Cricetulus griseus: one gene and its partner. Each later gene encodes a partner of the first gene's protein in a complex. Links are inferred from orthologs where the notes say so. Each region holds a gene or a part of one and is shown on either strand. Other genes may lie near its edges. The genes, in order: Gba and Scarb2.

Region 1 (4,353 bases):
AGAAGAAAGGAATAAATAAATCAGCTCTGGCTGGAGATGATAGAGTGTTTGATTGGTGAGGCCACAAACACAGAGCTCTGGAATTGTGGATGGATGAACTAGAGGGGAGTTAGGCAACACTTCCTGGAATTCAGGAAATCTAAAAAAGGGTGGGTACAGACAGTCAGAGCCATACAGCAGTTCAATAAATATGACAATTTGCCACCTATCCCTGTGACATAGTAGATGCCACAAAGGCTTTGAGGCTGCCTAGAACAAGTAAAACATTGCCTTGAAGGTTCCCCAATAAACACTGCTTAGTTGCAACACTCAGTGTGAAGCACTGTTCTAAACACACTCATCTCAAAATAGCTCTGTGAGATGACAGGATCACTCCTCTTCTATAGATAAGAAGCAGACTTAGAGGAATTAATTTGCTGATCTCAACAAGATAACCAAACAGTAAATGATTGGGAGCTGTCAGGATTCAAACACTATGAATCTCCCAGAAGCTACACTTAAAGTCTGGATCTAAGATAAGTAATCAATTTTCAGAGGATATGTGGCAAAGACTTCACTGTTATAATCATAAAAACATAAGAGACTCAGTCAACAAGCATAAAGCTCCTGATGCCTATCAAGTGCTCCCACTTGGCTTATCTTCCTGACTCCTTTAATGCCCTGTGAGACTTTGCTGTTGTCTCTGTTTTCCAAGTGAGGAAACAGGCTTAGCGACATGGAATTAGTCAGATCGTATTGTATGTGTCACTGCCAATAAATTTAGCTTGATGTGGTTCACAGAGAATCCTGTGGACAGCCCTCCTCTGTGTCTACCAAAGATATATAACTTTATACAGCACTTTCCAGTTCTGGACTGCTTCACCAACCTCCCAGTCTTGTGTGGGGAGATGACATCTTTCTAGCCAGCATCTGATGATGAACTGAGGGGATCCAGGAAGAGGCAGTGGGCACTACTCCCCCCTCCTCACTCTTGCCACCCAGTGCTGGACTGTGACTCAGGGCACTTCACTGTAACTCCCTCCAGCGTCTCCTGTGTTAAGCCTTTGTGGAGAAGTCTTCAACCACAGAGGGTCCCTTTTCCTCTCAGGAAGTCCTCTATGCACACCTGTCAACATTGCTTTTGTCTTCATCTGTAACTGTGCAACTGTCTGACTCTTGTGCCTCACTAGTCTCCTTAGGGCAAAGACTGTGTGTATGTGTTTTATTTTTTAAATATGTTGTGTATATCCACTTGTGGGTATGTGCATGGGAGTGCAGGGATCCTTGGAGGCTACAAGTTCCTTCTGTCTTGAAAATGGAGCCTCTATGCAGCATTTCACACAAGTTCTTGTTCTAGCCTCTTCCTAAAGCTGTCAACCACGTAGGCTTCATAGGTCTTCTATCTCTCCAGCACTCTGGAACTGCCACAATCTTCTCCTTATCCATTGACCCTGAAGAACTCACGCCTGGAAGAGCCCGGCTGCCCACTACAAATATGGCTTCAATTGCTTCACTTCCTTATCACGTGATCACCTTAGTCATCACATGACTTTGTCCTCCCCTTTAAGCCGGAATTAACTTGCTGTGCCAGTCCGGATCCTGTAGCTATAGCTACATCCCTGTTTTTATTTCATAGGTCTTCTATCTCTCCAGCACTCTGGAATTGCCACAATCTTCTCCTCATCCATTGACCCTGAAAAGCTCAAGTCTTCACGACCTTCCAGAAAGGTAAGCAGGCAGGATTTCAATTTGCCTTGTCAACCTTGCTTCTAGAATTCAGGGAATGGCAGATTCTTTTTAAAAATTAAGGCCATCATGGCTCTTTGAGTAAGACACAGATGGAGAGAGGGCTGAAGGTTGAAATCGATGGGATAGGCAGAAAACTCACTAGCAGAGTGGCTGCAGAGAGGAACACATACAGTGTCTATGGGCATTGTCTAATCACTAATAAAGATGGGAGACTATGTTGTGGGCACCCACAGGCAGCTAAAGCCTGGCCAGGAGAGTGGTTAGGGGATAGAGAGGGGCTTACCTTCTAATCGTTCCTCATTCTGTTCTCAGGAGTGTCTCAAACACCTGGGCAGGGTAGGTGTCATGGCTGCCAGGCTCATAGGATTCTTCTTACTTCAGGCAGTATCATGGGCATATGGTAAGTGAGTCAAGGAGTGGGGTGGCAGCATGGATATTTCCTCTGCCCCGAGGTCGTTTGCAAACCTGCCACTATGGTGGTGAGCTTTTAGCAGAGGCTCTGTAACTCTTATAGTGTGCCTGAGACAACCATGGGCTGGGAGTACAGTGGAGGGATCTTTTAAAACATTGTTGTTCAGGCTCTTGACTCTCAAACCCACTCCCCTGACCATCCACTTTGATGCTTGCCTCCGTTTGTGCCCCTGACTTGTAGGTGCACAACCCTGCATCCCTAAAAGTTTTGGCTACAGCTCAGTGGTCTGTGTCTGCAATGCCACATACTGTGACTCTCTTGACCCCCTGACCTTACCTGCTGCTGGTACCTTCAGCCGCTATGAGAGTACTCGGAGTGGACGTCGGATGGAGCTGAGTGTCGGGTCCATCCAGGCCAATCGCACAGGCACAGGTAGTCACTTTATCTCTCACTCTAAGCATGGCTGGGCCCCCTGGCTCGAAATCACATCAGTTATCAGTATCTGTACACTGACTGTGCCCCTTTTTCCCCATGGTGTCCTCAGGTCTACTACTGACCTTGCGTCCAGAAGAGAGGTTCCAGAAAGTGAAAGGATTTGGAGGAGCAATGACAGATGCCACTGCCCTCAACATCCTTGCCTTGTCCCCCTCTGCCCAGAATCTGCTGCTCAAATCATACTTCTCTAGTGAAGGTGAGGAAGGGCAGAATAAGATTACACAGTATAAGTGATATCTTTTTTTATACCCTGGCTTTATTTTTTAAATTTCTATTACATTTTACTATTTATTGTATGTGCTGAGCATGGGTGTGGGGCCAGAGAACAATTTTCAGGTGTCCATCGTCTCCTTCTACCATGTGGATTGTGGGGATTGAATCAGGTCCTCGGGCTTGGCACCAGGCAGCCCTACCCACTGAGCCATCCTGCCAGCCTTTTTACTCTGGTTTTCATGTTCTTCCCTGACATTTGCCTCCTCCCTTCCTTCTCTTCTCCCCTCCTTTCTCTATCCTTCTCAGAGCAGGTCTCATGTATTCCAGATTCAAATTCACTGTGTAGTCACTGATGACTTTGAACTCCTGATCCTCCTGAGTGCTGGACTACAGATTGCGTCCTGTTTACTCAGTGCTGGAACTTGGGGCTTTATGCATTCTAGGCAAGCTTTCTGCAACCTGAGCTACATCTCCATCCTGCCTCTCTCTTTCCTCTTCCCCTCTGTTCCTTTCCTCCCTCTTTCTGTATCAGCCTTGCCGTGACTGGCCTCAAACTCCTCCTGACTTGGTCTCCCAAGAGCTGGGATCACAAGTCCCCAAGTGTTTGTACCTCAGTGCGACTGAAACGAGATAGATTTTTAATATTCTAAGTATTTAAGGGGGCATGAAAACTGCTCAAGAGGGGCTTGTTCTTCACTCAGGTTCTGGTTCCTACAGTTCCATGCCCCATTCCCTTTGGAGAAGGGACTGTATTGAATGAGACCCCATTGAGGACTAACACACGATTAAAGCCAATTTCCACACTTGCCTTCCCCCCCCCCTCTCTCTCTCTCCCTCTCGCCCTGACTAGCCTACTCACAAGGATCTGTTAGCCTCTAGAGGTGTGGCATTACAGTCATGGTGCCACCTCATTCAGCTCCATACTCTATTGAGCCAGGTTTCCCTATCTTGGCCATCCTTTTCTGCAGGAATTGAATATAACATCATCCGGGTGCCCATGGCCAGTTGTGACTTCTCCATCCGAATCTACACCTATGCTGACACCCCTAATGACTTCCAGTTATCCAACTTCAGCCTCACAGAAGAAGACACCAAGCTCAAGGTGGGCATTCTGGTTGCTTCAGATACCTCTTGGTATTGCTGTCTGGGGACTGGGAAGGTCCAGGCTAGAGCTTTCTGCAGATCTAGGTAGAATCTTCTCCTGCAGCCTGTTTGACCTGGGGGTAGGAGGGTGGGTGACGGCAGTTGGACCTGATGCACTGGTTAGGCTAGTTTGTGTTCCAATTCTGGGTGTCTCTCTCTCCACGACATCTGTCTCCAGATACCCCTGATTCACCGAGCTCTGAAGATGTCCCCACGCCCCATCTCACTCCTTGCCAGTCCCTGGACATCTCCCACTTGGCTCAAGACCAATGGAGCAGTGAATGGGAAAGGGTCACTCAAGGGTCAGGCAGGGGATGTCTATCACCGGACCTGGGCCAATTACTTTGTCAAGTAAGGGATCA
Region 2 (3,815 bases), on another chromosome or scaffold:
TCGTAATTATTTAAATTTGGCCTGTGTTTCAGCATTGGTTACATCCCACTGACATTTGTTAGTCACCACTCATCATCATTTGGATTCTCTCCAATCCTGTGAAGGGCCTAGTAAAGGTCCTTCATGGCTACTGTGTATAGTGCAGGGCTTAGCACTATGGGACATTCAAAGACTTGTCTATTCTTCTATTCTTGTGTATGCCCATTTATTACATGTGTTATGTTTTTGAAGAAAAAGAGGAGAAGAGGCGTATGAGACATGTTAACTAGTTTATTATAAGGCCCGGCAGAATAAGGGGACTAGGAGAGAAGAGGAACAGGGGTAATGGCTGACTGCCATGGCCGGTCGCCATAGAGAGGCAGAGAGGGCACGTAGGTGAGAGAGAGCGAAGAAGAAACAGAGAGAGAGTAGAGAGTAAAGAATAAAAGAGTAAAGAGAGAGCAGCAGGGAAGTTGGAACTTTTAAAGGGAAGACTGCACTTGCGCACTGAGGTTCCACGCATGCCCAGAGTCCTCACGCAGGCCGTAATGCGTGGTGGGTGATGTGATGGCACGTCCCTGTGCGTGCCCTGACTGTTGTCAGGGGGCGGGTTCTGCCTCTTAAAGAGATAGAGGCAGAGCCGATCAGCATCAAAGCCTGAACCTTTCAACATGTGCCTTTATTATTTTCTTATCTAGTCTTATTTTTTTGTTTGTTTTTTGTTGTTTTTCGAGACAGGGTTTCTCTGTGTAGCTTTGGAGCCTTTCCTGAAACTTGCTCTGCAGACCAGGCAAGAGCCTTAAACTCACAGAGATCCACCTGCCTCTGCCTCCCAACTGCTGGGATTAAAGGCTTGTGCCACCACTGTCCAGCCATTCTTATCTATTCTTATTTTAAATCTAGAAAGTATCAGACACAGGGGTGCATAGCTGTAATCTGAGTTCTCAGAAGGCAGAGGCAGGAGAGTTGCTATAAATTTGAGGACAGCCTGATCTGTATTGCGAGTTCCAGGTCAGCCAGAATTACATGGCAGGACTGTTGTTTTGTTTTTTAAATGTCATCAGCTGGCTTGCCATTTTATTGTTGACTACAAGGTAATTCCTTCACAATCTACACGACTTCACTCAGGTTTATAACCGAGTGCCTAAAGCAAGTACAATTAGCAAACTCTACAAATAGCAGATGGGTGAAAAAAAAAATCCCCAAGAACTGCCGAGGTCAGAAAGGGCCAGTGGAGGGAGGGGTCATGGCCCAGCTGCTAGGGGTCTTCTAATCTGTATGTGATTATAGAGTTTTAGATGACATTTTGTTAACTACATATGTAACTAAAGATTTTCTAAATAGATGTAGTGGCACATGCCTGTAATCTTAGCACTTGGAAGGCTGACACAGGAGGATTGCCCCAGTTGGAGGCCAACAAGGGCTACAGAGTAAAAGCCTATCTCAAACAAAACAAAAAGCTCCACCAAATTTAGAAAAAAAATATTGCATTAAAATAATATTTTATTTGGATTACCTTAGATACATCTTGCATTTCATACCTTCAGTGAATTCTTCCTCAAATTCACTCTAGGCCATATACCAAGCCCTGCCCCCTCCCTTTTTTAGACAAACTCTCACACTGTAGCCTGGAACTCACTACAGAGTCTGGACTGGCCGCTAACTCTCGGTCCATCAGCCTCCAGAGAGCTGGGATCACAGGCACAAGAAGTCATACCCACCCAGCCCAAGCACTTTGAGAGATGTGCTTTTAAATTGACGAAGTAATTTATAGTGTGTAAATATTTAATGATTAGCATAAATATTTAATGATTAGCTCTGACTAAATGGTATATTCATCATCTCAGATACTTGTCATTTCTTTATATTGGGAGCATTGAACAAACTTCTCATCTAGCTCCTTAGAAGTAATTATCAATGTCAACGATTGTTACCTATTATACTATACACCAACATCTTTCTAAGAGATTTTGTAATTTTGTAATTTTTGTAATTCAGGAAAGAGTTCATTGTTTGACTGTTATATCTCCCTGATTCTGGGAGGAAAAGAAAGTGGAACAATAGATTTTGAGAAGCGTTTCCTAGACCCTATCCCCTTTCAGCGTCTTGGCTCTAATCTGTAGTTTTTAAGAACTGAGTATCAACAGCCTACGTACATAGTCATTTTATTAGAAATGTTATATAGAAAAAATGTAACTTTAATACTGAACAGAGGGCTGGTTTGTTAATGTGGTATCTGTTTTCAAACAATGTGTTTGTTTGTTTGTTTGTTTAGGGAAATCAGGAACAAGGCAAACATCCAATTTGGAGAGAATGGAACAACCATATCGGCTGTTAGCAATAAGGCATATGTTTTTGAACGAAACCAATCTGTTGGCGACACTAATGTTGACTTGATTAGAACGATAAATATTCCTCTGTTGGTAAGTGGACCTCAAAGTATGGTTATCATGGGTTTGTGGAAGGAAAATGGCAAGCCTTATAGGTTCTATGTAATTTAAAAGCTATTATTTTATGATAAAATATAGATATGGGGGGCTTGTCTTGCTTAATGTGGTGAGTCCCTGAATTTAATCCTAGAACCACCATAAAAACAAACAAACAAGCATAAAATATGGACGTGCACAAAGACTTTATTTGTATGTGTTGGGGTGTGGGGGTGGGGTTGCTCCTGGCCTCCAGCTGGCTGTGTCAATCTCCTTTCCTTTGTCTTCCTAATCTTGAATTATAGGCATGCTCCAGTGGCAATGCCTAGCAAGCCTTTCATGTACATGTACTTTTATTAAGTATATAGATATAGACTTTTTCTGAGGTCAGTAAAACAAGGTCATTACAAAAGTTATTCAAAGATTAGGTCTCTGGGATTTTTCCTTTGGGTTCAGGATTAGCATTTATGCAAATAAGTAAGGAATTTTTTTTTTTTTTTTTTTTTTTTTTTGGTACTTATGCCATCCTGAGACTCAGGGTCTTTCTTTCTTGAAACTGGATCTCTTTTAGCCCAGGCTAGCCTTTGTTTTAGTGTGGTACTAGGGATCAAACTCTGGGCTTCCTGAGTAGTCCAGAAGGGGGTCAGGGGCTGCTTTACCCAGTGAGCCATATCCCTAGTCCTAATCCTCTGCACCAACTTCCTCTGAGGCTTCCACACTCTAGGAACCCAGTACCTTAAAGAGCACAGATGCTAAGTCTTGCCTTGCCCTGCTGCTAAAGATGTGGAGATTCAGTCACCAGTCTGCTCCAGGAGAAGTGGAGCCACCTGGTGGCTAAAGGTCCCTTTGCACTTATGGGATCTCTGTGATGTTGGGCATCATTCAGAACCCGCTAACAGGAATTCTAAAATCACAGTTACATTAAGGTGGATATGATCTGGTGGTCCAGGTCTGTAATCCCAGCTCCTTTCTGAGGTAAAAACTGAACAATTAAAAAGCTCAGACTGGGTTTCAGAGTCAGTTCAAGGTTAGTCTGGGCAACTTAGTGAGACCCTGTCTCAAAATTTACAAAAGGGGGCTGGGGCTTAGGATAGAGATCAGTGGTAGAGGGTTTGTCTACCATGCGCAAGGCCATGAAGTCCACACACACACACACACACACACACACACACACACACACACACACACACACACACACACAGAAAGGGCCATGGCTGAAATCTTACTTCACACACAGACAGGGAGGTCACTGGTTGGATTTTCTGTTTAGTTTCTGGCCCATTCTGCAGAGGGGCAGGCAGAGAGCTGGGTGGACATTTTGGAGGGGACACTGATTAATCTGCCTCTGCTCTGCAGACTGTTGTGGAACTGACCCAGCTGCCCCTGCTTAAGGAAATCATTGAGGCCATG

What was found.
Region 2: the proteins of Gba (region 1) and Scarb2 are in contact, whole or in part, in a cryo-EM structure (PDB 9FJF), measured with the Homo sapiens proteins. The link is inferred for Cricetulus griseus from reciprocal best matches to the Homo sapiens genes GBA1 and SCARB2. Residues at the interface, in NP_000148.2 of Homo sapiens: Leu130, Asn131, Ala134, Ile169, Glu190, Lys194, Leu195, Pro430, Arg434, Ile445, Thr446, Asp448; in NP_005497.1 of Homo sapiens: Lys161, Ala162, Tyr163, Gln164, Lys181, Glu183, Leu187, Phe191, Arg192.

Annotation. Positions count from the first base shown.
Region 1 is NW_023276806.1:65,351,809-65,356,161, reverse strand, and holds the start of Gba (lysosomal acid glucosylceramidase), read left to right. Parts: upstream 1-1,521; 5' UTR 1,522-1,707; intron 1,708-2,040; 5' UTR 2,041-2,073; coding exon 2,074-2,128; intron 2,129-2,380; coding exon 2,381-2,572; intron 2,573-2,684; coding exon 2,685-2,831; intron 2,832-3,816; coding exon 3,817-3,950; intron 3,951-4,169; coding exon 4,170-4,342; intron 4,343-4,353. UniProt on the Homo sapiens protein: Glucosylceramidase that catalyzes, within the lysosomal compartment, the hydrolysis of glucosylceramides/GlcCers (such as beta-D-glucosyl-(1<->1')-N-acylsphing-4-enine) into free ceramides (such as N-acylsphing-4-enine) and glucose.
Region 2 is NW_023276807.1:157,262,478-157,266,292, reverse strand, and holds part of Scarb2 (lysosome membrane protein 2), read left to right. Parts: intron 1-2,254; coding exon 2,255-2,402; intron 2,403-3,761; coding exon 3,762-3,815.